Macaca fascicularis: one gene and its partners. The protein of the gene in region 7 interacts with the protein of the main gene of each other region in a biochemical or structural test. Links are inferred from orthologs where the notes say so. Each region holds a gene or a part of one and is shown on either strand. Other genes may lie near its edges.

What was found.
Region 1: the proteins of LRRK1 (region 7) and CD2BP2 form a complex in vitro, tested with the Homo sapiens proteins (2 studies listed by BioGRID and IntAct, with this or other methods). The link is inferred for Macaca fascicularis from reciprocal best matches to the Homo sapiens genes LRRK1 and CD2BP2.
Region 2: the proteins of LRRK1 (region 7) and GPBP1L1 form a complex in vitro, tested with the Homo sapiens proteins (2 studies listed by BioGRID and IntAct, with this or other methods). The link is inferred for Macaca fascicularis from reciprocal best matches to the Homo sapiens genes LRRK1 and GPBP1L1.
Region 3: the proteins of LRRK1 (region 7) and NUDT16L1 form a complex in vitro, tested with the Homo sapiens proteins (2 studies listed by BioGRID and IntAct, with this or other methods). The link is inferred for Macaca fascicularis from reciprocal best matches to the Homo sapiens genes LRRK1 and NUDT16L1.
Region 4: the proteins of LRRK1 (region 7) and FLT4 form a complex in vitro, tested with the Homo sapiens proteins (2 studies listed by BioGRID and IntAct, with this or other methods). The link is inferred for Macaca fascicularis from reciprocal best matches to the Homo sapiens genes LRRK1 and FLT4.
Region 5: the proteins of LRRK1 (region 7) and SNX9 form a complex in vitro, tested with the Homo sapiens proteins (2 studies listed by BioGRID and IntAct, with this or other methods). The link is inferred for Macaca fascicularis from reciprocal best matches to the Homo sapiens genes LRRK1 and SNX9.
Region 6: the proteins of LRRK1 (region 7) and BAG3 form a complex in vitro, tested with the Homo sapiens proteins (2 studies listed by BioGRID and IntAct, with this or other methods). The link is inferred for Macaca fascicularis from reciprocal best matches to the Homo sapiens genes LRRK1 and BAG3.

Annotation. Positions count from the first base shown.
Region 1 is NC_088394.1:28,493,692-28,497,799, forward strand, and holds the start of CD2BP2 (CD2 antigen cytoplasmic tail-binding protein 2), read right to left. Parts: upstream 2,801-4,108; 5' UTR 2,731-2,800; intron 2,224-2,730; 5' UTR 2,198-2,223; coding exon 2,120-2,197; intron 1,840-2,119; coding exon 1,704-1,839; intron 1,579-1,703; coding exon 1,421-1,578; intron 1,321-1,420; coding exon 885-1,320; intron 805-884; coding exon 698-804; intron 632-697; coding exon of another isoform or gene 613-631; coding exon 502-612; 3' UTR 1-501. UniProt on the Homo sapiens protein: Involved in pre-mRNA splicing as component of the U5 snRNP complex that is involved in spliceosome assembly.
Region 2 is NC_088375.1:189,087,566-189,091,011, forward strand, and holds the end of GPBP1L1 (vasculin-like protein 1), read left to right. Parts: intron 1-752; coding exon 753-855; intron 856-2,027; coding exon 2,028-2,180; 3' UTR 2,181-2,946; downstream 2,947-3,446. UniProt on the Homo sapiens protein: Possible transcription factor.
Region 3 is NC_088394.1:5,507,096-5,511,105, forward strand, and holds NUDT16L1 (tudor-interacting repair regulator protein), read left to right. Parts: upstream 1-1,448; 5' UTR 1,449-1,457; coding exon 1,458-1,610; intron 1,611-1,696; coding exon 1,697-1,957; coding exon of another isoform or gene 1,958-2,027; intron 2,028-2,667; coding exon 2,668-2,889; 3' UTR 2,890-3,510; downstream 3,511-4,010. UniProt on the Homo sapiens protein: Key regulator of TP53BP1 required to stabilize TP53BP1 and regulate its recruitment to chromatin.
Region 4 is NC_088380.1:187,556,034-187,560,155, reverse strand, and holds the start of FLT4 (vascular endothelial growth factor receptor 3), read left to right. Parts: upstream 1-1,322; 5' UTR 1,323-1,337; coding exon 1,338-1,788; intron 1,789-4,122. UniProt on the Homo sapiens protein: Tyrosine-protein kinase that acts as a cell-surface receptor for VEGFC and VEGFD, and plays an essential role in adult lymphangiogenesis and in the development of the vascular network and the cardiovascular system during embryonic development.
Region 5 is NC_088378.1:66,161,195-66,165,222, reverse strand, and holds the start of SNX9 (sorting nexin-9), read right to left. Parts: upstream 2,801-4,028; 5' UTR 2,612-2,800; coding exon 2,600-2,611; intron 1-2,599. UniProt on the Homo sapiens protein: Involved in endocytosis and intracellular vesicle trafficking, both during interphase and at the end of mitosis. Required for efficient progress through mitosis and cytokinesis. Required for normal formation of the cleavage furrow at the end of mitosis.
Region 6 is NC_088383.1:128,663,472-128,667,508, reverse strand, and holds the start of BAG3 (BAG family molecular chaperone regulator 3), read right to left. Parts: upstream 2,801-4,037; 5' UTR 2,505-2,800; coding exon 2,325-2,504; intron 1,806-2,324; exon of another isoform or gene 1-1,805. UniProt on the Homo sapiens protein: Co-chaperone and adapter protein that connects different classes of molecular chaperones including heat shock proteins 70 (HSP70s), e.g. HSPA1A/HSP70 or HSPA8/HSC70, and small heat shock proteins (sHSPs), e.g. HSPB8.
Region 7 is NC_088381.1:86,092,220-86,095,719, reverse strand, and holds part of LRRK1 (leucine-rich repeat serine/threonine-protein kinase 1), read right to left. Parts: intron 3,191-3,500; coding exon 3,018-3,190; intron 1,918-3,017; coding exon 1,797-1,917; intron 1,552-1,796; coding exon 1,392-1,551; intron 241-1,391; coding exon 1-240.

The DNA of each region.
Region 1 (4,108 bases), on a different chromosome or scaffold from region 7:
AAACGTTTCCATGCCCACCCCCAACAGAGACCCAATGTCTTCTCCATGCCCCGGTCCTTCCAGGCCTAAAAGCTCCACTTCTGGGGCTCCATCCCCTGGTGGCTACAAGGACAAAGAATCTGACATCCTGAAAGCCAAAGACCTAAGGGGAATCAAACAAGAAACCTCAGAGAGGAACACAAAGTAGCGCAGTTGGGGGTGTTTACACAGCAAGCAGAGTCCAGGCAGTGAGGCCACAGGACACCTGACAGGCACCTCCAAAGAAGATCTTCATGGGAGCAAACACTCAGGGACCAAGGCAAGTCCAAAGTGGCTGTGGAGAAGGCCCCTGGCTTCTGGCCGTCAGCACAGCCAAGGCCCCAATACACAACTAAAGGCTTTTATTGGGAAAGGGAAATTGACTGAAAAATGGCCTCCAATTTCCTCACTGCCTGAGACACTTGGTGCCTTCTCCACAAAGTCCAGGAAAGAATGACCCACCAAACTGGGCCCCCAGCAGGCTCAGGTGTAGAGCTCAAAGTCAATGCGTTTGGAGTTGTAGAACTGACCACCAGGGGGGTCCAGCTTCCGGCAATAAACACCGTCCGGGAAGTAGCCTTCACTCACCCAGGTCTGCAAGGAGAGGGCAGAGCTGGGGAAGGACTGACAGGAGTAGGGGAAGCAGGGACAAGCCAGAAGGAGGGAGAAAGCAGCTCACCTGCATCTGGGCGCTGGTGAAGGGCCCATACAGCTCGGCATCCCCCGTGTTCTCCCACTTATATTCCCACATCACATCCACCAGACCATCTCCTGGCGACTCTGCTTCTAAAATAACAGGCAAAGCCATTTGACCTCCGGTGTCTCACTTCCCGCCCACTGCCCCCTCCTCTGTCCTCCAAGCTTACCTCCTCTCTGGGTAGGGGTTGGGGTCTCCAGTTCCTCCTCTGCCACTTCCTCAGCGAACATGTCCAGGGAGGGTGGGGGTGTGGGATTGTGGGGTCCCACGGTCTGACACCCCAAACCCTTCAGCCGCATAGCCAACCGTTCCCTTGTTTCCTGGTACACGCCAAGGTTGCCCCGGGCCACCATCTGGTCGGCCAACCCGGAGAGCCGGTCCAGGCGCTGAGGGGAACTGGGACGCCCAGGCCCCTTGCTGCTCCCTTTGCCTCCTCCTCGGGCCCCTAGACGCCTCAGTGCCCCAGCCACTGTCTCTCTAGGCAACAGAAGCTCCAAAAGTCCCTCCAAGAGGGCTTGGGCACTCATTGGGGTCTGGCCCAAGCTGTCTTCCTCCTCCGAGTCTGAGGCCTGGTGCTGGCCAGGTGGCCGCTCCCGGATCTTCACCTGTCATGGAAAGATGCAGTGATTTCCCACGAACTGCCATGGGAGCAGGCCTAGCATCCGCCACTCCCCGGCCCCAGCCACACCAGCCCCTGGGCCTCACCCAGTCAATGTTGTCCAGCCAGCTGTCTCGGATCTGAGCATCCCGGTTCAGGAAGTAGTTGCCATCAGCATCAAAGTGTCCTTCCTCCATCTCCTCCTGCAGGTTAAAGGGTGTGATCCGAACACCCCCCTCGCTGGGGAGTGTGGCTGCCTCCTGACCTGTACCAAAGACACAGGTGCCCTTTTCTAGGCATGGAAAAGAGAGACTGGAGCCTCCCTCACTCCACACCACCAGAGGCCCCTACTTGTTTCTCCAGCAGAGTGTATTCTTGGGTACAGCTCACCTTCTACATCCTCTGAGGCCAGGATGTCGTATTTGCTGGACCCCCCATCATCATCATCCTCCTCATCGCTATCCAAAGAGTGTTTGCCTTTGAAGCGGCTCCCAGGACCCCCTGACCCAGCCACAGGGTCCACCAGCTGTGAGCAGGAGTCAAGTCAAGAAATGCAGGTTACTGGCTACCTCCCCAAATACTTCCGGATCTGGACCCAAATATTCCCCAAATATTTCAGGATCTCGACTACTTCCCCAAATATTTTAGGACCCACACTGAAGATGCTCCCAACCCATTCTTCAGAGAACCTGAAAAAACTAGGCTTTTCTCTGCCTGCCCGCCCCGCCCCACTCCCGCCAGCTTTCTTTCTCCTCAGGCTTCTAGCTCCTCTCTTTCCCCCACACAAAGGAGTCTGGCCCCCTCACCTTCTTCTTGGGGACACTGATTTCATCCTCATCTTCCTCATCTCCCACGCCTTGGAAGGTCACTTTCCTCTTTGGCATGACGGGGCAGAGAGGTGTTTCTCAAGCTGAGGAAAGGATACAGAGAAAGAGAATGGGGTGAGGAGGGGACTCGCCACCAGAGGACCCAGCACAGCAAATATTTTTCCTGGTCTGTGACAGGTACAGTTTGGGAGCGGAGGGAGCACAAAAGCAAGGGCTGAAGAGAAGCTGGCAGCCAGGAGGCCTGCAGGACTTGGGTCTAGCATCCGCGAGTTAAATGGGGTGGGGACGGAGGAGCGGACCCTCTGGATCCCCTGACCCTGGCCAACAGGGAACAGACTTCACCACGTGACCGCTCCCAACTCCAGCCCCCGCAGTCTGGGCGCCACCGGCTCGACCGGCTGACCCCCGCCTCCTACTCTGGCTCTCTCGGAGCTCGCGGGGCCCGGGCAGACCCAGGACCTGGCGCTCTCGCCACCCCGTTCCTCCCTGCTCCGAACTCCCAATTCCGTGTGGTGAGCCCCAACTGTCCCGGGCTGTGTACAAATTAGAGGGCCACGGGGATCCGGGCTGTCCCACCCTCGCGCGCTCACCTGGGACTCCGCGGGAGGCGAGGTGGCGAAAAGAAGAGATGCTTGCGCCAAGGCTACATCCGGGGCACCCGGCCGCCATCACCCGGAAGAGGACTGTGGAAGGCGCCTGGGAAGCCCGGAAGTGGCTTCACTCGGGTTAGGGAACTAACTGGAAGAGCGGGCGGAAGTACGCGGTGAGCGAGGGAAGACGCCTCCACCCTCTCTCCCGCAAGAAGTGACGTCAGTCGCGTGGGAGGACAATGGCGAGAAGAGGGGACCTGTGAATGCCTACACTCTGACCGGGCGTGAGAAATGGCCGGAAGTACCTTCGATTCCCTCATTCAAGCAGTAGAGGCTCTGGAGAAAAACGAGAGCATCTACTTAAAGGGTCGCCCAGGGTCAGGATGGAGGGGCAAAGTCCGAGCAGGGCCAGTGGGTCGCTGCCCCGTTTTCCTGTGCTGGGTTCGAGTCACCCTTCCACCAGGGCTGAGGGCTCAGCGCCCCTACCGTCTCGTTAGAAATCCTGCCTTCCCACTCCTGTGGTCCGGTGGTAAGCTCTCCTATCTGAGAGGTGGAGCCTTGCCCTCCCCGAGGGGAAGCCTGGCTCTCCCGATGGCCAGCCCGGGGCCCCTGGACGGCTCTCGGGGCACTTTCTGGACACAGCTCCCTTTAGGACCCAGGGGAAGTCATTTGTCCCACGCCCATACCCTGGGCGAGTTCCTGGCTTCTGAGGTGGGAGAGCCATCACTGGAGAGGTGGCATTGGCACCAGTACCCAGGCCAGAAGTCCCTGTGCCCTGCTCTCAGATAGGCCTGGAAAAGGGCAACAGTGCCTCTCTGTAGCATGAAGCCCCTCTGAGCAAACAGGGCCTAGCACCACGGCCTGGAAAAGGGCAACAGTGCCTCTCTGTAGCATGAAGCTCCTCTGAGCAAACAGGGCCTAGCAACTCGTGCCCAGGTAACAGAATGTGGCCCAAGCAGAAGCGGGACTGGGGGAGGTGGCGGGGGGTCAGCCCCTGTACTGGAACCTCTAGCTCTTGAGGACACTCGGAGCCTGCATCCCCCTAAGCAAAGACTGCCCAGGCGGCACCTGCTGGAGCCAGACGAGGACAGTGTGAGAGTTCCCCTACTCTTCCCCAAGGCAACTAGATGGGCCACTTCTCTCTCCCTAGGGATTTCCTCCCATATTGGATCACGATGGAACTGCACAGAAAGTCCATGCTCAGTTTCTTCCATGGTTACAGAACACAGGCCCCAGACCAGGAAGGCATGTTGCTAAAGAAGGGGACCCGAAACCTCAGCTACCAGCACCGATGGTTCATCCTCCAAGGAAACCTCTTCTACCTAGAACACCAGACCGATCATGCACCCCTGGGCCTCATCCCGTTGGAGAACTGCCA
Region 2 (3,446 bases), on a different chromosome or scaffold from region 7:
GACCTTGAACATACTGGAGAAGATATCTCAGATAGAGTCCCACATACAGAGAGAAGTGGCCCAATCATAACTTGTTCTCTTTGTATGCCCCAGGTTAGCCTGTTGCCCATCAAACATTCTGTCACAAACCCAGCCATCTCTTCCACAATCTACTCTCCAATACTTTAATATTTTTAACTTCAGGCCGGGCACAGTGGCTCATGCCTGTAATCCCAGCACTTTGGGAGGCCAAGGTGGGTAGATCACTTGAGGTTAAGAGTTCGAGACCAGCCTGGCCAACATGGCGAAACCCTGTCTCTACTAAAAATACAAAAATTAGCTGGGCATTGTAGTGTGTGCCTGTAATCCCAGCTACTAGGGAGGCTGGGACAGGAGAATGGCTCGAACCCGGGAGGTGGAGGTTGCAATGAGCTGAGATTGCACCCTGCACTCTAGCCTGGGTGACAGAGTGAGGCTCCTTCCCGCCACCAAAAAAAGCCAGATTTTGCAAGTGCTCTCTTTCTTCTTTACACTGCCTTGGTTTTGCTTCTACTGTCTCTTCTGTAGCTCTTCCTCTCTCAACTGTGAAGAGCCTCCATTTATTTACAGGCACCCAAGTAGCCACAATTAAAGCTTGTCCCACAGGGAGGAAAACAGAATTCCTTTAACATCCGTTGTCCCTGGGTAGAAAAGTTTTCTGTGAAAAGAGATGGGCTGTTCACTTAGGCTTGATGATGTCATATTCTCTTTACCTGTCCTTCTGCATCCACCAGGTTATTGAAAGCAATGGGATGGCAAGAATATCCTGAAAACGATGAGAATTGCCTTCCCCTCACAGAGGATGAGCTCAAAGAGTTCCACATGAAGACAGAGCAGGTATGTTGTAAACCTTCTTCCTAGAGACCAGTTAGTAACCAGGAGAATAAGGAGTCCAGACAGTCCTTGCCCTGAGGGAGCCCTAGTTTAATGTGAGAGAAAGATCTGGGAGGGGTGGGAAAATTACCTTAGTAGAAATGTAGCGGGGCTCCTAAATCTGCCTGGGAAATAAGGATCCCCAGTATTGGATACAAAAACCAAGTGTCAGTTATTAGCAGATTCCAGAAAATAGTATACTCTTTCATCCTCACAGCTCTAACTCCTTATCAGAACCACAAGGCTGTGTTCCAGAGTTATGGTCTGAGCTCTTGGTCTTTAAGGAAGCAGGTTCACCTTCCTCTGCTTCCTGTTCTGCACTGTAGTTTCCTGGTCCTCTGGCCAGAGCTAAGAAGCTAAATAGCTTGTGTCAGTTTATCCAGCAGTTGCTTGGATTCTTTCTCTGAATAAAACACTGCTAGATCCTAGGGTGAACAAGACAAATGGGGTTTCTATAAAAATCCTTGAACTTCTGGTGGCATATATTTACAGCACAAAGTACAATTGGCCAAGTTCTTAAAATGGGCATGGCACAAGCTGGTAAGAGACCTTGCCACTCTGAACTCTGTTAGAAATAAGGACTTATGGCTGGGCGCAGTGGCTCTCGCCTGTAATCTCAGCACATTGGGAGGCTGAGGCAGGCGGATCACAAGGTCAGGAGCTCGAGACCAGCCTGGCCAATATGGTGAAACCTCATCTCTACTAAAAATACAAAAATTAACCAGGCTTGGTGGCGCACGCCTGTAATCCCAGCTACTTGGGAGGCTGAGGCAAAAGAATCACTTGAACCCGGGAGGCAGAGGATGCAGTGAGCCAAGATCGTGCCATTGCACTCCAGCCCGGGCGACAGAGCGAGACTCCGTCTCCAAAAAAAAAAAAAAAAAAGAAAAAGGACTTTCAAGCTCCATCCCAGACATACTGAATCTGAATCTGCATTTTTGAAAGATGCATAGATGACTCGTACATTAAAATTTGAAAAACACTGCTATAAGAGATCTCAGAGGGTCTCTTAGAAGCACCCCCTATCCCACATTCCACCTAGAATTGAATTGAGGCCTGGCCTTTCCCAGGGCTCATGAGTCAGTGCAGTCATGGACAATTTTTTCTTTTTTCTTTCTCTCCCATGCTAACCATAGCTGAGAAGAAATGGCTTTGGAAAGAATGGTTTCTTGCAGAGCCGCAGTTCCAGCCTGTTCTCCCCTTGGAGAAGCACTTGCAGAGCAGAGTTTGAGGACTCAGATACCGAAACCAGTAGCAGTGAAACATCAGATGACGATGCCTGGAAGTAGGCATATAAATGCTCACAGTTAAATCTTGACCCAGTAAACTCTGTGTGTTTAGGGAGTATACAAAAGAAATCGTTCTTTTCCTTTTCTTATGTTGTTGAATACTTCATTCACAAGAGAAATAATCGTATCCCAAAGAGAGAGCGATTGGCTTGTTTCGCTTTTGTTGTTGTTCTTCCCTGTTATCTGCTTAATAGAGAGAAGTTTGTGTGGTGGGACAGATTTTTTAAACACACACACACACACACACCCCCAGTATATATGGGGTGATGCACAGGTAGGAGCTGGCAGTGCAGGGAAGAGGAGACACCGGTCTGCAACAACAGCTTCTACTACCAGCCCTTAGGGCACTCACCCCTGTGCTCAAGCAATCATTGTCAATGACAAAGTGACTATTGAAGTTATAATTGTATTAAATTAATGCTAATAATTTGGATATTTTATTTTATTTTTGGCTGCTCGGGTAACTTTAGCCCTTAACCAAGCATACGTGGTTTTTTTGGTTGTTTTTTTTGTTTTGTTTTGTTTTTTTTCTTTTTCCTTTTTGGGTACAGCTGTAAAATATTTGGATATAGGAAATGTTGTGTTATCTTGCAGCCTTGATATTCAGGGTGGATTGTAAAATATAAATTTTTGTGAGATTTCAAAGATTAAGATTATTTTGATAACATTATTTACAGATTTAAAAGATGTGGTTATCACAAGTCTCGAGGGGGAAACTACTGCATAAAATAACTAACTTGGAATAAATATTTTGCATCAGTTTGGATTGTCTTGTGTAAGAAGTATATTTTCTTTAAAATTAAATGAGTGGATTCTTTTTTAGGGGAAATATTTTTAGAAGTTGGGGGGAAATGTGAATTCAGACACAACTGTTCTCTTTTTAGCAGATACTTTTTTGATGCAGAAAAACCTGTGCAATAAATTACCACTAATAAAGTCAGAAACCAAGTTTTTTTTTTTTTTTTTTTTCCCTGAAACTGTTTTTTAGTGCCCATGTATTTACCAGTATACATATTTTAAGGGAAGTCTATTCTGTTTTCCTACTAAATAAGAACTTGGAGCAGGGGTTGGGGGAGAGTTGGACGATGCTAGCCGGATGGCTAGTGAAGGAAGCAGGTTTTTTCATTCAACAAATACTTTCTTTTTTATTTTTATTTTTGAGATGGAATCTCTCTGTGTCGCCCAGGCTGGAGTGCAGTGGCGCCATCTCGACTCACTGCAAGCTCCGCCTCCCGGGTTCCCGCCATTCCCCTGCCTCAGCCTCCC
Region 3 (4,010 bases), on a different chromosome or scaffold from region 7:
GGGTGGGGGCCCTCTTTGGGTGGAAGGACCCTTCCCCTTGCTGCCCTCTCGCCTTCTGACATGGTCGCTCACCCTGGAATCTGGACTTCCCCTGCTGCCTGCAGCTGTCCCATGTGGCCGCTGTCCCATGTGGCCCCTGACCCACTGGTGGCCATAGGAGGAGACAGAGGTGCCCTCTCTGGGTTCTTATTCTCCACATCTGACACCACCATGGACCTAACAGGTGAGTTTCCAGTGCCCACCCTCTGCCTACCTCTCCTCCTGCTTGGCTCCACTCAAGGCAGCCTTCTCTGTGCCAGTGAGCTTGGCCTCACTGCACAGCTCTCCTGAGACTCTGCCCCAGCCCTGGGCACCCATGCTGTGAGTGCAGGCGGGTGGTTCATGTACTTAGCAAATCCATTCCCCCCGTGGGGAGGAAAGTGGCCTTGGGCCCTGTTGCTGGTGAGGTGAGCCTTGCCATCATGGAGTTCAGCGGACCTCGCGCTCTCGGCCTGTTTCTGATGTTTCTGAGCCTGAGACATCTCCAGGACAAACACAAGGTAAGTACCTCAGGCTCTTGTGGAATCGGGATCCTGTCTCTGTCACTAGCTGCTGGGTGTACTTAGGCAAGTTCTGTCCCTCTCTGAGCTCCAAGTTCCTCATCGTAAATTGGGGAAGCCCCTCTTCCCCCAACAGCACGGGGTGCCTGGCATGGAGGATGCTGGAAAGCTCCAGCCCCGGAATTTAAGTCACTTTCTGCTCAGCAAGCTGGGTCCACAGAGCCCCAGAGCTCCCAGTCGTCTGCCCTGACCCAGCGTGGACTCGGGGACTGGGGCGCTCAAGCCCTGCCTGGCCCTGCTTCCTGTGCTGTCCTGGATCGAGCCGGCCAGCAGGGTGGCTAGGTCGGGACTGCTGTCGTGCGTGGCAGGAAAAGGCCGTCGCCCTCCGGGCTCGGGTCCGGTGGCGCTGGCAGAGCAAGGCTCCGGGGCATTTCTGGCTTGTGTGGTCGTGCCAAGGGCGCCATTGCGGATGCACAGGGCCATGCGGGCCGGGTCCGCCTCCTGGGGAGAAACGGGTGAGCGCAAGGGGGATCGGCGCCATTGAGGGTGGAGAAACCGCAGGGATTTTCGGCTGTCTGCTTTGGAGCGCCAAGGAAGATGTTCGTCGACCACAGTGTGAACCTTGAGCCACCACGGCACCGACCAGTCGACTGGGCGATCCCGTCGGAGGCGGGGCCGCCGCCCGGGGTGTGCGACTATTGGGTGACGGCTGACGCTCACCGCCTTCCTTTGCACACCGCTCGCTGCACCTCTCGACGACGCGCCGCGGCGCTGCGAGGGGCTCGGTCCGGGGTGCGCCGGCGATTGGCGGGGGAACGGGACCCGGGGGTGCGGCCGCCCGCGGATTGGTGAGGCGCGGCGGGGGCGGGCTCGCGCATGCTCTTAAGTGGCAGCGACGGGGACGGGGTCAGTGCCAAGATGTCGACGGCGGCGGTTCCAGAGCTGAAGCAGATCAGCCGGGTGGAGGCGATGCGCCTGGGGCCGGGCTGGAGCCACTCGTGCCACGCCATGCTGTACGCCGCCAACCCTGGGCAGCTCTTCGGCCGCATCCCCATGCGCTTCTCGGTGCTGGTGAGGACGGGAGCGGGAGCGGGCGCGGGCGGGCCGGGGCGGGGGCGTCCGACGATCCCCCGGCTTTGACCCGCGCTCCCTTGCAGATGCAGATGCGTTTCGATGGGCTGCTGGGCTTCCCCGGGGGCTTCGTGGACCGGCGCTTCTGGTCGCTGGAGGACGGCCTGAACCGGGTGCTGGGCCTGGGCCTGGGCTGCCTGCGCCTCACCGAGGCCGACTACCTGAGCTCGCACCTGACCGAGGGGCCCCACCGCGTCGTGGCGCACCTGTACGCACGGCAGCTGACGCTGGAGCAGCTGCACGCCGTGGAGATCAGCGCGGTGCACTCGCGCGACCACGGCCTGGAGGTGGGGCCGCCGCCCGGGCCCCGCCCCCCGCCCCGGGGTTTGGCTCTGGCCCCGTGGAAGGCACCGATGGGTAACACGTCTCCTGAGGGTCCCCTGGCCGGGCTGGGTCGGGTGTCGCTGTCTCCAGCAATGGGGTGGGGAGAGGGGTCTGGGGCTGGGGGGCCGGGAGAGGAGGGGCGGTGGTGGGGGCCGGGGCTGGGGCTCCCTCAGGGCTGTGTTACATCTGCCTTGCTGCTGCCATTGCCAATCCTGGGAGTGGGGAGTGGGATCGGTGGGGAGGAAGGGATGGGGGAGGAGCGGGGCTTGCTTGGGGAGTTGGGAAACTTGAGCACAGCGGGGGTCGTAAAACTTGGAAACCTCATGGGGGGCGTGAAGGCTCTTGGTATTTGTGTTTTGTGGTCTGGAAGGGTTGGACTCCAGGTGTTCAGGCTTCGTTGGGTGGACGGGAAGCATGGGGTGTGGACCCCGGGTGGTGGTCTAGGTACGAGGGGGAAGTGCATGGGGTCAGCCTCCACACTTGCTTGGGGAGGAGGGGGCTGCACTGCTCCAAGGGAGCTGGTTGGCTTCTGCCAGGTCCTGCCTGGGTCTCCCATTAAGTCCTTGGCAAAGCTGGCTGCTCATACCCTGGCCTCCTAGCTTCCAGGCCCCTCCTGCCGGGGGTGCCATTGCGTGGCAGGCCTGGCCCCAACCCCTACCTCCTGTCTGCACAGGTGCTGGGCCTCGTGCGGGTCCCGCTGTACACCCAGAAGGACCGAGTCGGAGGCTTCCCCAACTTCCTGAGCAACGCCTTTGTGAGCACGGCTAAGTGCCAGCTCCTCTTTGCCCTCAAGGTGCTCAACATGATGCCTGAGGAGAAGCTGGCTGAGGCCCTGGCTGCGGCCACCGAGAAGCAGAAGAAGGCCCTGGAGAAGTTGCTCCCAGCCTCGTCCTGAGGGCTGCCTGGGCTGCTGGCACCCTCCCCTGGGCCGGAAGACTGGGAATTCCTGCCAAGTGTGGCTTCTAGAGTGTGTGTGTGTACCCCACTTCTGACTGCCTAGGGCAAAGGGGCATCCTGTCATCTCCACTGTCCCAAGCAGTCACTAGGTGGTGGCCAGGCCAGCTGGGACCCAGCCCATCCTCTCAGGCAGAGCAGGGTGGTCTGGGCACGCTGGGCCTGCCTCTCCAGCCTCCCAGGCTCAGACCCTCCTGTGTGTGTGTCTCATCCCGGCTGGTGGAGGCCCACAGGGACTGCGCACAGCTCCAGGGCCACTCGGAAGACGGGATGTGTGGGTGGAGGATGCCTCGTCTAGGTCAGCATTCCTGCCTCCTTCCTGAGCCAGCTCAGAGCCTGGGGGAGAGCCAACTTGGGGTAGGAAGTTAATACTGTTAATTTGGGTGGTTGTTGGATTTACTTTGCTAGATTTTCTCTTTCACCATGTGTGAACTGTGGGTGAGGTTTCAAAGTAGCTTCACCCCACGTGGCTTGGTTCCCAGGGACAGTCAGGGCCTCGGGGGCTCAGCTATGTACGACGAAGCTGTCGAAGGAGAAGACAATAAAGTCACTCCTCAGCTGCTCTGTGTTTCTCAGCTACTCTGTGTGTTTCGGTTCTGGATGGAGCCAGCTCAGGCCTCCTGCCCTAGGGGGAGGGAGGAGCCGCCCCAGCCAGAGGCATGTTTGTCCCCAGTGCTGACTGGGGGCACTCCCAGCATAAGCGCTGTGCCCATCAGCCAGGTTGGGGTATCTGGGCTGAGACCTTCAGGGAAGGCTCCCCTTCCTGATCCTGATGGCCCTGGCTGCACCTGAGCTGACCTGCTTTGCAAACCCGCCCTACACCACCATCATCTGCAAGCAGCTCCAGGGGCTGGTGTAGCAGTGCAGGCTTACTATGCAGAAGGACAGCAGCAGAGCCATCCCTCGTGGTCTCCTACAGCCTCACATCTGGAAAGACTCCAGTGGCATCGTCAGAAAATGTTCACAGCCCATGCCTGGCCTGGTGAGGGAGGTGGTGGTCCCAGCGCCATCATCTCAGCGCTCGGTGTGAGGGCAACATGTCGGGGGAGGCCCTGTCCTATG
Region 4 (4,122 bases), on a different chromosome or scaffold from region 7:
AGCCTGGTCAACATGTTTAAACCCCCATCTCTACTAAAAATACAAAAATTAGCCGGTGTGGTGGCAGGTTCCTGTAATCCCAGCTACTCAGGAGGCTGAGGTGGGAGAATCTCTTGACCCCGGGAGGCAGAGGTTGCAATGAGGTGAGATCGTCCCACTGCACTCCAGCCTGGGCAGCAAGAGAGAGACTTCGTCTGAGGGGGAAAAAAAGTATATTCTGAAAAGAAAAAAAAAAGCAAAACATATATTTTGGTGATAAAATGATAAAGAAAAGCAGGGAAATGATAATGCCAGGGTAGTGGCCATGTTTGGGGGTTAGTGAGGGGTCTGTGATGGGTGGTGAGGGGATGTGGGGATGTCATTCTATGTCCCTTGGCCTGGGGAATGGAAACGCAGATGTTTGCTGCTTTAAAATTCAGGTTTATAATATGCTGATATATTATGTACTTTCCATAAGTGTGTTACATCTCATAATAAATCTTTCAAAGCTAAAAAAAATCAATATATGATTGATAAATACCTAACTTCATGTATCATTTGGTTACCTAGTTTCCCCAACCTTATTTATTAAATTTTCTAAACTATCCTCACTGATTTGCGATTCTAGCTTAATAATATAGCCAATTCTTACCTGGGTTTGAGAGAGCTAGTAGTGGTTATCGAAAATCTACTCTTGCTTTTTGGCGAGGATGAACGGACTTTGGGGGGCGGGGTGGGGGGATGGAAAATGTGAATGAAACGAAAAGCAGGGAGGGAGGATGAGACAGTCATGGTCATGGGCTTTATTATTAAACAGGAAAAATCTAGAGACAAACTGAAAAGAGAACGGAAGTCTGTGAGAGGGTTGCCAAGTCAGAAAGCAAAAGCAAAGTGTCGCTTTATTAAAAAGGTGGGGGCGGGTCCTGATTGAGCTGAGAACAAAACATTTGGGGGGGGTTCTAAAGCTTGGAGGCCAGGCCTGCAGGGTGGGGGTCGGTTATCCCGGGTGTCCCGCTCAAGGGTGCAGCTTCCATCGGCACTGTGCATCGCCACTGTGCAGGTAGTTAAAGACTGCTGGACGGGTTTTGTTTGCTTTGTTTGTTTTTTTGAGGCGGAGTCTTGCTCTGGCTCCCAGACTGGAGTGCAGTGGCTCGATCTCGGCTCACTGCAACCTCCTTCTCCCGGGTTCAAGCGATTCTCCTGCCTCAGTCCCCCGAGTAGCTGGGATCACAGGCGCGCACAACCAAGCTCGGCTTATTATTTTATTTATTTATTTGTTTATTTTTGAGACTGGGTTTCCCTATGTTGCCCAGGCTGGCGCCAATATTTTCAAAGATTTAACATACTGCTATTTTTACATGTACTGCTTTTTTGCTTACTCTGGATTTTATCGATGGAAAGAAAGGACAGAAAAGGGCGCGTACCGCATTTTGTGCCCCTTGCCCACCAGGCTCCATTCCCTCCGGAGCGCACACCGAGGCCGTCTGCGTTACCCGCGTCCCCGCGCCCGGAGCCGCCCAGGAGGGGGCCCGGACCCCGCGGTGCAGAGCGCGCACTGCTCGGGTGGACCGGACGCCCCGCGGCGGGCTGGGAGGGACCGGGGGGAAGGGGGGGCGCGGGGGCGGCCTGAATCCCTGGCCCGCCTCCCCGGGTCCCCGCCCCGCCCCGCCCCGGGCCAGCCTGCGCCCGCGACGACACTTTCAGCCCCGAGCCGCGGCCGCTCAGGTCGGACCCACGCGCAGCGGCCGGAGATGCAGCGGAGCGCCGCGCTGTGCCTGCGACTGGGGCTCTGCCTGGGGCTCCTAGACGGTGAGCGCGGGGCCGCCGGGGAGGGGGCCGGCCGGGGAGGGGGACCGCGCACCTGGGGCGGGCGCTGAGACCGCTCCGACGGGGACGGGCGGGGGACACGGTGGCCCCGGTGCGCGGACGCCTGAGGGAGCACGGCGCTCGGGGCCCGGGACCTCGGGATGAGGAAAGGGCGGGCGGGGACTGCAGCCGGGTCAGGGCCAGGGCGGCCGGGCCGCGCCTCGGCGCAGGGTTCGCCCTCCCGGCCCCGAATCGGCTTCTCCGTGGGTGGCTCCGGGTCCTCCAGCCGGGCCCCGTCGGGCTGCGCGCTGAGCCTGGATCCTTCGTGCCCTTCCTCGCTTCCCCGCGGGGTCTCTGCGCCGCGCCGCTGGCCCGACCCACGCGCACCGGAGATCCCGGCCATCCCGGCCCCAGACCGGGTGCGCACTTCCCGACGCCCGACGTCTCCGCTCGCGGGCGGTCCCCCAGAGGGCGCTCGAGCCGGGCTTCCACCTCCCGCGGCCGGGGCTGCAGCGCAGGGGCCGGGACTCCCGTGCGCAGGAGGCTGACAGGTGCAGGTGCAGGTGCAGGTGCAGGTGCGCGCTGGGACCTCAGAGGAATCTTGAGGAGGCGAATCGGGGGCTGTCAGCGCGGCAGAAGGGGCAGAAGGCCAGGGGTCCCCGGATTTGAGGGGACAGGGGCCTTGAAGGCCGGCTGAGGAGCAGAGGCCCCCGCGGGAGGGTCCCCTGCCCAGGAGAGGCGGGGTTCGGTTTGTGTTGGGAATATGGCTCTGGCGGGGAGGGACCCAGACCTGAGGCGGAGGCGGAGGGGTTGGAGAGAGGGATTGGGGGGGATGAGGGAGGGGCAGAGGGAGTGGATGGAGATGTCAGGATAGGGAGTGGATGGCGATGTCAGGATAGGGGAGTGGATGGCGATGTCAGGATAGGGAGTGGATGGCGATGTCAGGATAGGGAGTGGATGGCGATGTCAGGGAGGAAGCTGAGAAGATGAGCTGGGAGTCCACACGGAGCTGGTGTCTCTGGAAATCAAAGGGTGGAAGGGCGGGGTCAGGGGTTCCAGTGTCTGAAAGGGGAGTGCCGGGAGCTATGAAGCCAGCGATGGGGACCTCAACATTTCTGCACGCCATAGGAATTAAATACTGGCTTTACATGCTTGTAATTCTCACAGGGAGTGTCAGACTCATTTTACACATGGAGAAGCTTAGAGCAAGGACGTGTGTCACTTCCCCAAGATCCCCAGGAGGCCCAAAGGAGCCCGACAAAGCCTGCCTTCTGCCCACCACCTGTATGTCCACGGGCTGAAGGGCAGAGGCCAGGAGAGGGGACAGGTCTGGCTCAACCAGGGGAGGAGGGAGGAGAACATCTGTCTGGGCCCCTGAGTCGGGCAGGTCAGATCAGGGTGCTGCCCTTGGCCCTCCTGGACCCCGCCCAGGACCAGGCTCTCACAGGTGCTCAGGATGTATTTGTGAGTGGCTGTTAGAGCTTGGTTGGACTGCAGGGCTGTAGAATGGGAGACACTTAACCCAGAGGAGACATGGGATGGGCGCCTGAGTGCAGTGTCTGAGGCTGAGCTGAGGACCTGGAGAGGGAGCAGAGAGACCCAGGAGGGGACCCTGGAGGAGGGGCCCAGAAGGCAAGGGGGCTTCCAGGGAACATTCTGCAGGTCTGAGGAGAACCCGGAGAGGCCAGTGTGCTGTGCTCCCGGCTGGAGCACGGCGGGATGTGGGGTGAAGGGTGACGAGACCATTTTTTGCAGTGGGTGCAGTGACTTAGCGACCCAGTTATGAAGAGGAGAGAGGGCGTAAGTGGGGGCCCCATGGAGAGGGGTGTCCTGGGCTGGACCTGGGTTTGGCTGGTGGGGAGATGGCAATAGAGACTGAGGTCATCCCTCCCTAAGCCCTGCACCTTGCTCTATCCCCTGCTAGGCTGAAGACCCCGGGAGCCCCCAGCTTGGTGGGGGATGCCATGGCGGGAGCACAAGCCCTCAGCTGCAGTCGGGTGTCAGAGCAGCTGGGTGGGAGCAGGCCGGAAGCCTGAGCACCGTGAAGCTGACCCCTTAAACATGTGCTGTTGGTCATAGAACCGGACTTGTCCTGCCTCCCCCGTAAAGTCATTTCTGTGTGACCTGGGCCCCCTCCTTTCCCCTCCTTGCACCTCAGTTTCCCCAAGCATAACCATGGCATACGCTGGCAAGCACCGGGGTTGTGTGGGTTGTGTGTGCTTGGGCTGGACTCCAAGACTCGGTTTCCTGCTTCAGTTCCACAGTCTTGCCCTGGTGGAGAGGGTAGGTCGCAGATGTCTCTTGGGGCTTCGTCTAGAGAGAGGCCATTGGCACCTC
Region 5 (4,028 bases), on a different chromosome or scaffold from region 7:
ATAGCCAAGTTTCTGGTAAATTCAAAGGGAAATGAACATCCCCTAAAATATCCAGATCCTGAATTTACGTTTCATCACTTAATACTTACAGCAACAGCCTGAGTGCCACTGGAGCCATTTATTAAAAATTAGTCATTACTACTAAGCACATTCTCCCCACCCTTGAAGAAGACGAAGAAAAAAAACAGAACTACTCAGGTGTGGGGAAGGGGTGTGTATATGGGGCAAGTGAAAGTAGCAACTTGTCTCTCTGGGGACAATTAAAAAATGAGACTTTGGTTTGACCCAAGTATCACCAGGATGTCAGAAAACTAAGGAAGGGTCTTCTTCTAATAACTGCTTCATTGCTCTTCTTTTTCTTAAAATGGAAATGGTCTGTCACAATGTAGACATGGAAATGAGCACCATGTGGAACAGTGATTAGACAGCGAAAGAAACTAACAGAATTACTGGAATTTGCCTTCGGAGTGGTGTAGATAACGAAGTAGGAAGTGCTTATGCATGTTTTAAGGCTCGTGTTTAAGCAAAGACACATGCAATTCAAGATTAATATACAAGAACCACTTTTCAATTTTTTGAAAAAAAAATTAAGTTCAGGCTTAACTATGAAATAAAAATTTCACTACGTATACCTGCACTAGTTGCTAAACTGCATTCCACTTAAAGGACAGTACAGGTAACATGCCTCAGTAGACCGGAGTGTAAAAACACACAGACCACCACTGGACAGATCTCTATGTCATACACCGCCTTGGTTTTTTTTTTTTTTTCAAACGGAGTCTCCTCGCTCTGTAGCCCAGGCCGGAGTGCGGTGACGCCATCTTGGCTCACTGCAACCTCCGCCTCCCGGGTTCAAGCGATTCTCCTGCCTCGGCCTCCCGGAGCAGCTGGGGCTACAGGCGCGCGCCACCACGCCCAGCTAATTTTTGTATTTTTAGTAGAGACGGAGTTTCACCATATTGGCCAGGCTGTATGGAGCTCCGACCTCAGGTGAACCGCCCACCGCGGCCTCCCAAAGTGCTGGTATTACAGGTGGGAGTGAGCCGCCGCGCCCAGCCTATAAACCGCTGTTAAGGTTGCAAGATGAGCGTGTACTAGGATGTGTAACTGGTAATTTCTGGAGTGTCTGGCAACAAACCTCAAAATCAAATTTCCTTAGAAATCCTTGGCCTAAGTTTTATTTTTAAAAAGGTCAACACAAAATTAATAAGTTCAAAAGGTGGCAAGTTCTATCACATTAATAAAACCAAAGCACAGCACAGGCAATAATATATTAACAAGAAGGTAATTATTTCAGTAACAGCAGCAACAGGTTCCCTGGAGGAGAATCCCCACTTCTCTATAAACGCTGCACCTAGATGGATTCAGAGCACAAAATTTACCACAGGACAACATCTAGCAGACCGAAGTCAAGCAACGCTGATCTTTTAAACAGATTTCACATTTCTTACCATTTCCTACCTTAACACTCCACCAAAAAAAGCAAACACCTATCGAAATATAAAAAATAACGTTTCTAGCAACCCAAAAGTAGCTCAGAGATCTCAAAAAAAAAAAAAAAAATAGGGAAAGGGGTGCTGATGCTAATAAAGTGACACTACAAAAACTAAGTGCAAAAGTAAACCTACTCCTCACAGCGTATCACAGAACAGTTAATGGTTCAGGTACAGAGCCTCCTCCCCCAGGTCCTCCTTCCGCGACCATGACTCCCCAGTGACTATTTTACACCAAGTAACTACTGAAAACGCCCAAGGAAAAGAAGTGGGGGAGGGTGGCTTTTGAAGATTCAGGTAGCAAAGAGTGACTGCTAATTTCATAAACAATAATGCAAAACAAGCAAACCACCGCTCCTAGCCAATTACCAAGCAGGAGTCAAAGTTCCACCACGTAATTCGGGCCTGGGCCTTTTTTAGGCAAACACGTAATCGAAAGCACAGTCATTTCCCTCTTGATATTTTATTCATGCCGGCAATACCATTCACACTGAGAAGGTAGCAAAACAAAAGAAAAAAATAACAGCAGAGAAGGCAGAGGGGCGCGGGGTGTCCCAGCCTCCGTCTCTCCCCGGCCGCGAGCTCCCGCAGGCCGGGACGGGAAGCGCAGCGTCCTCTCTGCTGAGGTCTCGACCCCCACCCGCCCCACGGGGCCGAGGGTCCCCTGGGCGGCAGCGGGAGGGGACGTGGGGGCGGCGGGGACGCCAGACGCCGCGGGGACACCGGACGCCACAGAGAGCCTGTCGCCTCGGGGGCCTCCCCGGGCTGCGGGAAGTTTCCGTCCCGCTCTCGCGGCCCCTCCCGGCGAGCCCGCCGCAGCCCACGCTCAGGTGCAAACTTCCCAAACGTCGCTGCGCCCGGGGTCCCAACCCGCGCCCAGACCCGACGCCCTCCCCCGGCGCGATCCCGGCCGTCTGCACGGTCCGCCGCACCCATGCCCAGAAGGGACTGGCTGGGCCGCGGACCCGCCCGGGGACCCCACCGAGGACGCAGAGTGACCCCTCGGCCACCCCCGGCCCCAACCCTCCCCGCGGCCCCAGCCCCGACCGTCCCCGCGCCGCCGCGGGCCTGAGCGACCGGCCGGGCCTGCGCTGCGCGCCCCTCACCTTGGTGGCCATGGCGGGCGGGTCCCCCGGCCCGGGACGGCCGGCTTGTCTCCCGCGCCGCGGATGGTGATTCTGAGCCGCGCGGACGAAGGCAAGGGCGAGGGCGGCGGCTCCGGCTGGGCCCCGGCGCGGCGGCCGCTCCTGCGCCTCGGCCCCGAGTCTCGACGCTCAGGCCCAGCCGCTGGGCGCTCGGCTACTCCCGCGCCGCCCGCTCCTGCAGTTCCTGAAAGTCCCCGGCTGCGCGGCCCCCGCCCCTGCCGGCCGAGCCTCCCATTTACCGCGGCGCGCGCGGCGCCCGGCGGAAGCGCGCCCTGGGCCCTCGGCCGCGGCCCGGCCTCCTCGCCTCCTGGCCGCCCCCGCGCTGCGCCGCGCCGCGCCGCCGCCCCGGGCAGTCGCTGCCGCCGCCGCCGGGCGCCCTGGGTCGAGGACGGGGGCTGCGTCCCGCGCGGCGGCGGGATCCGGACAGGCGCCCCGGGCCATGGCCCGCACCCTGCGTGGCCGCCCCACGGGAAGCGCTCCGCGGCCCGCACAGCCGCTCGGGGGAGCCGAACCCGACTCCGGTTCACGCTCGGCCAGCGCCGCACGCCGTGGCTCGGGGCTTTCCGTGCATGAGGCGGGCGGGGGGGCAGGAACTCTCGACGCTCCCGGCAGACAGGAGCCCCGCAACCCCGCTGTCTTTGCCCCACGCCGGGGGTGTTGCGGGGTCGCCGTGCCCTTGGCCGAGTACCTTGAGTGCCACGTAAACAGCCGGGAAGGAACGGAGCAATGGCTTCCTGGGCCTCTTTCTCCTGCCCGGAGGCTCCCTCAGGCTGGGGTCCTGGCTTGGAGCCCCTGGGACGGGACGGTGGGGGGTTCGTTTTGTGACGTCCCATTAACCTCATTCTGGAATCTTGATAAGTTTAAAAATGCCCGAGGGCCCAAGAGGTTTAGGGGACAACAGGCTCTCTGAAGTGGAAACGAGGGCTCTAAAATTTTCCATCTTTCTGTCAGTGTTTCTCTCCAGGGTTGGAGATATATATATGGGTGTTATGAATAAACGAATGACTTGAATTGAGCAGCAAGATTTTTCGCTCAAGGACAAAACACAACTGGAAGATGTATCATAATTGGCATATTAGTGGAGTGCTTTTTTATTATGAGGGATATATTTGTAAGAAGAGACAACTATCAAATCTTCAATACTCTGATATTTAGAGTTAATGTCAAGTTTGTGTCTCCTTAAATACATTCTATTTGACCTGAGGTTTCACTAGTTACATTCAATAATGTGGTTTAAAATAGATACGGTATCGCAGAATTTTCTGTGAATTTTTGTGTTTGTTGAGCTCATGGTTAAGCTATAGTCATCATAATATGCATAAATAGTTGTCTTTCTCCATAAAAAAAGATGGAGGCCAATATTCATTGACAGCCTGCTTGCTAATATACT
Region 6 (4,037 bases), on a different chromosome or scaffold from region 7:
ATGATATTCTAGGATTCTCCACTACATTTAGTCTCCAGCAAGGTGTAATTCACACAAGTGCAACCAGATATTGTGTGCGTCTAAGAACAGGGTTGAAAGCAATGAAGCACAAACAGCTAATGGGCTGAATGTTAGTTTTCTCCTTAAGTTTTGGTGCCATGCTGACAAGTCTCAAGTCATTCACTTCGTAAAGAGAACTCTTTTCTTGAGTTGATGACGTCCCATCATCAAAATCCAAGCAACCACAGCACAGAGGTCAGTGACCCAATAACTTGGTGGCCAGGAGGGCACAAAGATAATCAGGTATTCTAGCCTGCATGCTTCAGTTTCACAAAACATTCACTTCCAACTTCTAACAGACACACCACCTCTTACTAGAACTTTCCTGACATTAGTTCTCTCCCTGTAATTGGTACTAGCTGGATGACCTTCAAAGTCACACCTGAATTCTCTGGGTTTTTCAGAAAATAAGAGATCTTCTAACTAAGAGATCTTCAAGGACCTTTCAACTTAAAAATTTTGACTATGAAATTTTCAAAGAAACCTTTCCAGCATCAGACTTCTGATGTAATAGTTCTTACTTTTTATTTATTGAGAAGAATAATGGCAGCTAAACCTGCTTTTTTTCTTTTAATAAGGTTTATGAAACCACAGCCTAACCCATGCACCAGGTGGGTACAGGAATATCTCAACTTGCTGGGTAAGTTTCATGCTGAGAACAAAGTGCTGGGAATGTCTATGTTCAAACTTGATCTTCACTCACAACAAAGGCTGCCAGCAGATACCACTGTCCCTATGTCCACAGGAAGAAGGCCTCAAAATAATAGTTGCAAACCACACTAAAGATCAGGTACATCCACGCAGACGCCTAAGAAAGGTGGTTTGAAATGAGTGTCAGTTTCACCCAAAAATGGGCTGAACACACACACAAAAAGGTATATGCAACTGTGCCCACCCCAGCTAATTACAGCCTCTTGTATTAATTTTCAAGAATAAATACACAAGTAATCTCTCGTAAATGTAAACTGCTGCCTGTACAGTGTCTCACTGTTGGGCACCGGAGTTTTATCAATATTGTTAAAACAAAAAGTGCATTAAAATGAAGGGAAATAATACAGGTCTTTCTTCTAAAATAATGGGTTACAAAGTATTTTTAATTTGGTGAGTTTTAAAATCTTCAAAATAATTTACCAGCTCTTTGCTGCTTTTATCTTGCCCAGACGGCAGTAACAATTACGCTTTAAGTATAACATTTTTTTTAAAAAAACTTTTTATTTTGAAAGCTCAAATTTATATAAAATTGAACGAATAGTATAACTATGATTTTTGAAAATTAACAGACTCATTCCAAATTTACGTTTTCAAATTTCATGCTCTTGGGGATTAGGAATATCGTTGCATATATGTAAATGAGACATACTTCTGCTGTATTCCCAAGAGTATCATTACTCAGTTATTTGTGTACTGGTAACAAATTCTAAGTATTTTAATACCATAACAAGGCAGGAAGCGAATGCCATTATAAATATACACGTATCATTCTCTTTCCAGTGTGAGGCAATGTGGTAAGGCAATGGCCAACTGTAAGTCTCAGATCTCTAGTTTAGAAACTGCTGGGGAGAAGTGCACCCTCTTTTATATTTTACAAGTCATACTAGGATACATTCGTATTGAAAGCACTTTCAAACAATAATACAATTTTAATTTAAAATACACACACACGCGCGCGCACATATATATGAATGTTTTGACACCAGCCTCCTGAGTCATTGGGTGCCTAAGATGGGACAGCAAACAAGATACCCCTCAACCAAGTTGGAGAACTTGAGCGGTAAAATTCCTCCCAAAAACCACCATCCAAGCTTGCGAGGGTCCCCCTCGAGTCCGCGGTCAGCGGGGTGCGCCGCGGGTCCCGGGACCGGAGGCCGAGCCGGCAGCAGTGGCCGCGGCGGGCCGGAGCCTCCGGAGCTGACCAGGCCGGCCGCCCCCTCCGAGCCCGGGAGCGTGAGGCCAGCGTCGGACACGCGGCCCTCCGCCCCGAGTCGAGCCGTGGACGGCACCGGACCCACTGCGGGGTCGCTTCCCGGACCACCGGATCGCGGGGCCTCCTCTCGCCCCGACTCCTGTAAAGGGCGGGTCCGGAGCGGGGACTCGTCCGGGAGCACCGGGAGTGTGTGGCGGGGCGCGGAGCCGGTGTCCGCCCGCAAGGGGCCTTCGCCGGCCACCGGGCCCCGCCGCCTGGCGTCCCCCCGGCCCAACCCACTCCCCGCCGCCTGCCGTCGAGGTGGCGCCGCCGACCAGGGCGGGCCGCGGGCCCAGCTCACCTTGGGGCCCTCAGAGGGCACGCGCGGGTCGTTCCACGTCGTGGTACGGCTGTTGTGGTCCACGAAAAAGGGCCAGCCGGTCTGCGGGTCGATCTTGATCTCCCAGCCGGGGGGCAGGGGGTCGCGGTCACCGTTGCCGGACGCCACCTGCATCATGGGCGAGTGGGTGGCGGCGCTCATGCTGGGTCGGGGTCTGCCCGCCGGGGCGCGGGTGTGGGGCGCGGGCTCCGGGCGCCGAGTCTCTGGCCGGGCCGCCGCCGTGGGCCCCTCTCTGCCGCCGACGTGTCCGGGAAGCCGGCGCCGGGCACCTTTATGAATTAAAGGCGGGGGTGACGTGGCCAGAGAGGGGTGGAAGTGTCTGGAAATAGCCTCCTCGGTGCCAGAGGGGAAGGAGGCGATAAAGGGAGGTAGCAACTGGCCGGCTAGAAACTTCTGGTCCAGTCCAGAGAAGTTGGCCGCGGCCCGGGGTTGGACGCGGAGCTCCGCCCTGAGTCATCGGCTATAATCGCGGCGGGCGGGGCTGAGGGGCCGGGGCGGGGCCTCTCCCCGCTCGCCCCTCCCCCACCTTCTCCCGCCCCTCCCCCCGCCGTCTCGTGCGCGTGCCCGGGCCGGAGTCGCCGGGGGCGGGCGCGGGCGCGTCTTCGGGGTCCGCCTGCGGGTGGGGCGCCGGAGGAGCGGTACTGGGGGCTTACTCCGTGGCCCCGGGAGGGTTTCGGCTTTCGCACTCGCTCTCTCCCTCTCCTTTGCGCCGACTGAGTGTTCCTGGGGCTGGAGCCCGTGCTCCCCGTGCCTGCCGCCCCTCTTTCCTGTACAAAGCCATCTCGCCCACCCCCACCCCACCCCCATCCCCCAACCCCCCCATATATGATAGCCGGGGACCATGAGGGCTGTCCGGGAGGAGCGCGGGGACGCTCATCTGACACCAGAAGGAAGCCAGGGAGAAAATGGAAGTTAGTGCAAACTCACCTGCCTTCCTTTGGAAACTTCAAGAAAAAAAGAGATTGTGTCAGCTGATGGCTTTTAGTCTCCTAGACTAAAAAGAAACTTTCGTTGCGGTGAACAGCTTTAAAGAAAAATCACATTTTCTTGGATTCGGATCTTTTTTATGGTAGAAGTTGGTTCTTGCAGTCTTACATCTTGACCCTCATTTGGGAAGTAAAGACCGAACCTAACCATGACATTTTTTGTTTGGTTTATTCAATTGCACTTGTAACCTGTCAAAGGAGAAAATTACAACACATTTAAAGATCTTTTCTGTTGTTGTTGTTGCTGATTCTCATTTTTTAACTTTTGTTGTTAAAGATCTTAATTTTATTTGTGATTCTAGAATTGGGCAACACCTCCATTAAATTAGAATAAGTGCTCCCATGAGCTGAGCAGAAGAGGTTGATTTTATAGACAGAGAAGGGCTGAAGAAAGCAGAAACAAAGAACCAAGACTGGATTGGTTGTTTCAAAATTACTTTCCTTGTAAGGAGGGGACAGCGAGACAGAATCATAGAAAAATAACTGATGAGGGCTTGCCACCATGGCTCATGCCTGTAACCCCAGCACTTCGGAAGGCCAAAACTGGAGGACTTCTTGAGTCCCGGAGTTTGAGACCAGCCGGAACAATACAGTAAGACCCCCATCTCCACAAAAACAAAAAATAAGCCAGGTGCAGTGGCTTATGCCTGTAGTCCCAGCTGCTCAGGAGGCTGATGTGGGAGGCTCA
Region 7 (3,500 bases):
CCAGGAACTGGAAGTACTGCTCTTCCGTCTGCTGTGTGAAGCCAGTCCCCACCAGTAGCATCCTGAGGTCTTCTGCTCTGATCACCCCATTCTTGGCCACTGACCGGGAGCCCTTAATGTTAAAGATCCTCTGCAGACATTCGGACAGCCAAATAGGGTCGAGGAAGTAGAGGTTCCTCAGGCCGTGGCTGGTGTCTGGGAAGTGTAGCAGGGTGCCAGTTTCTATGAGGAAGCTGATGGCTGCCCCAGGCAAGGAGAGGAGGAAGCAGCAGTTAGACAAAGGAGCGAAAGGGACTCTGGGGTGGCCTTACTTTCCAAGGGGACCCAGGTCACAAATTCTTCCTAGGAAGAAACCAACATGCCCCACATGCTGGACCCTTCAGGTGGGTTGGCAGCCTGATCACAGGTGCCCTGGTGGCCCCTGGTAACTCTTGCCAAAGTCCTAGGCTAATGGCCACCTCGGTAACTACAGTTGATCCTCATTATTTGTGGATTCCGCCTTTGCAAATTTGCCTTCTTACTAAAATTTATCTGCGACCCCCAAATCAATGCTCCTGTGGTTATTTGCAGACATGTGCTGAGTGGTGAAAAGTTTGCATTGACCAATGTGCACATTCCCAGCGGAGGCTGAACAGGGCAACACTCTCAACTCTCGTGCTGAAAACAGGGGCCTGCTTAGTGGTCTATGTCAGTGCCATGTTTTTTGAATTTTTGTGCTTTTTGTTGATGCTTTCACTGTTTAAAATGGTCCCAAGTGAAGTGCTGAAGCGCTGTGTAGTTCCCTAAGCGTGAGAAGGCTGCGATGTGCCTTATGGAGAAAACCTGTGTGTTAGATAAGTTTTGTTCAGGAATGAGCAACAGTACTGTTAACCATGAGTTCAATGCCAACAAATCAACACTATATATTAAGTACAGTGTCTTTAAGCAGCAACACACATAAAACAAGGTTCTGTATTGATGGGCTGATGAGAATGTTCTGACCAGAGGCTTGCAGGAGCTGAACCCTGCGTCTCTCCTAGGAGCACTGGTTTAGTATTTGCTATTTCAGTGATCATGGTGACTTTACAGAACATAAGTCCTGTGGCTAATGAGAATCGATTGTAACTGTTTGACCTCTGTCTCCCTGACTGAACGTCAGCCCTGGAGGGCATGGACCAGTCCATCAGTTTATATGTCTGCCCTTGTGGCCAACACAATGCTGGTGTAGAGTAGCTGTTTGTGTTCTCTACCTCCAAGGAAAGAAGGGTGAGAGGGAAGAAGGAAGGGGAGGGGGATGGAAGACAGAAACACAGGCTGATTATCGGTCTCTCATTCATTGCTGAGGGCCAGGCTGAAGTACAGACAGTTCCATTTCTCACGGGCACCCTGCCGCCCACCCCAGCCCCACCCACCCGACTGCAGGTCCTCGTAGTCTTTGATGTCATTGTCGGGCGTCTGCTCCACCAGCTGCTCCAGCTGCCTGTCCGTCAGGTACTGCACGTCGTCGTCCAGGCTGCGGCGCTGCTGCTCTGCCAGCACGGCCTCCTGCAGACTCAGGTAGCTCCTGGGGATCTGGGGGACAGACGGACGAGGCAATTCCCGAGGCATGCCCGCCAGCTGGGGCAGATCCTGCCTGGCCCCTGTGGCCTGAGTGGGTGGGACATTTCCACCCACTATCTTCCATCCTGACCCTCCCTCACCAAGAACGACTGAGCCTTGCCACATGGACATGGGCTTCACAGGAGAGAGGGGAAGTGAGGATCCCCAACAATGGGAAGCAGGCCTACTGGTTTAAGCTGGACGAGCGAGGTACCCACCAGCCTCCCTGCCAGTCGCTGGCAGCCGATGGTGCTGCCCACGTCCTTCATGCTGCACGTGACGTGGAAGATCAGCTGCCGCAGCCCTTCCTGGCCTTCCAGGCTCTTGCAGGAAATCTCACTGTGTGCAAAAAGACCCGTCTTTACTCATCGTGCCCCACTCCGAGGAAGTGCTGCAGCTTCTCTGTTTTCCCAAGAGGTTTGTCCTGAATGCTGGCAAGTCTGGAGAACTCATGAAAGACAACACAAGAAGTTTACTGAGGCCTTGCTTTGTGCAAATCACTGTGCTGGGTGCCCCACACTGTCGCTTTAGTCTGTCTTCCTAGACCAAACATGGCACTTCACAGAGAAGGAAAGTGAGGTGCAGAGGTACATTGAGACCCCCAAGGGCACAAGCTGGGCAGGCACAGGCTCACGCAGGCTGGTCTCAGGTTCTGACCCAGAGCCAGGGCTCCTCTTATCACAGACCCTATGGGACTTTCTCAAGGTCAAAGCAATAATTCCTGACAGCCTCATCCCGTATTCCGAGCCAGGCCAATGTGTCCCAGGCTGACCCACGCACCAATACCCATGACGCTCCACCCCGGGCGAGGGAATCTGAGAGCTGCCAGGGCAGCTAATGCAATGTGCAGTATATTTTACTCCCATTAGGGCACACAATTTGCTGAACCTCAGCTTCTTCATCTACAAGGTGGCAAACAATCCCCACAACCAGTGACAGGAGGTCAGCCCAGGGCAATTGAACTTATCTGCATGGACACGTCGTGATGCCCACCCGAAAGCCCCTCCCAACTCTTGGCCTTTTTTAACTCAAAGGCTGCTATCAGGACCACTCAGACCAAAGGCAAGGGCTAGGTCCTCCCTCCCCAGGGTCTGTCCTTGATCAGTGATCAAAAAATGAGATGGGCAGCAATTGGATGGGTGGTGCCCATGTTCAGTCACCTGGTTCAATGGGCACCATGCAGTTTCAGCACTGGCCCTTGGGGCGGGGACAGGGCAGAAAGGAAGCAAAGAGGGGGCATCTCCAGGCCTCACCCAGCCAGCTGTCTGGTAGGTCTTCACCCTCTCCAAGGCTGGGTCAGCTCTGTGGACTGCCCCCCCTTGGCCAGGGAAGGGGCCTAGCCCCACCCAGCCTCAGGAGCTCTCTGTAAGCAGATCCCAGGAAGGATCAGCGACTGGCACCCACATGAAGGCGGGAGCTGCTAGAGGCTGGGCACTCACTGTAAGTGTTTGAAGGTGATGTCTGGGAAGCCTGTGGCCCTGGAGCCGGAGGGGGAGCGGCAGAGCGCCAGCACATAGGCACGCAGCGTTGCAATCCTTTCCACACGGAACTTGGCTTCAATTAAATCCAGGTGTGTCCCGACCACCAGCACCACGGCATTTGGGGCCTTGGCCTGCAACAGAGAACCCCACGGCTGAGTATCGTCTCTGTTCACTGAACAAGGGACAGGACAGAGCTCCCAGCTGTGCTGACCCCGGATGCCACAGCCCTTGCTCAGCCACCAATCTGCAGCCTTGAGATGGTTTGGATGTTTTTCTCCTCCAAATCTTATGTTGAAATGTGATCCCCAGTGTTGGAGGTGAGGCCTGATGGTAGGTTGGGTCATGGAGGTAGATCCCTCATGAATGGCTTGGTGCCCTCCTGCAGTAATGAATGCATTCACCCTATGTCAGTTCACAGAGGAGCTGATTGTGAAAAGGAGC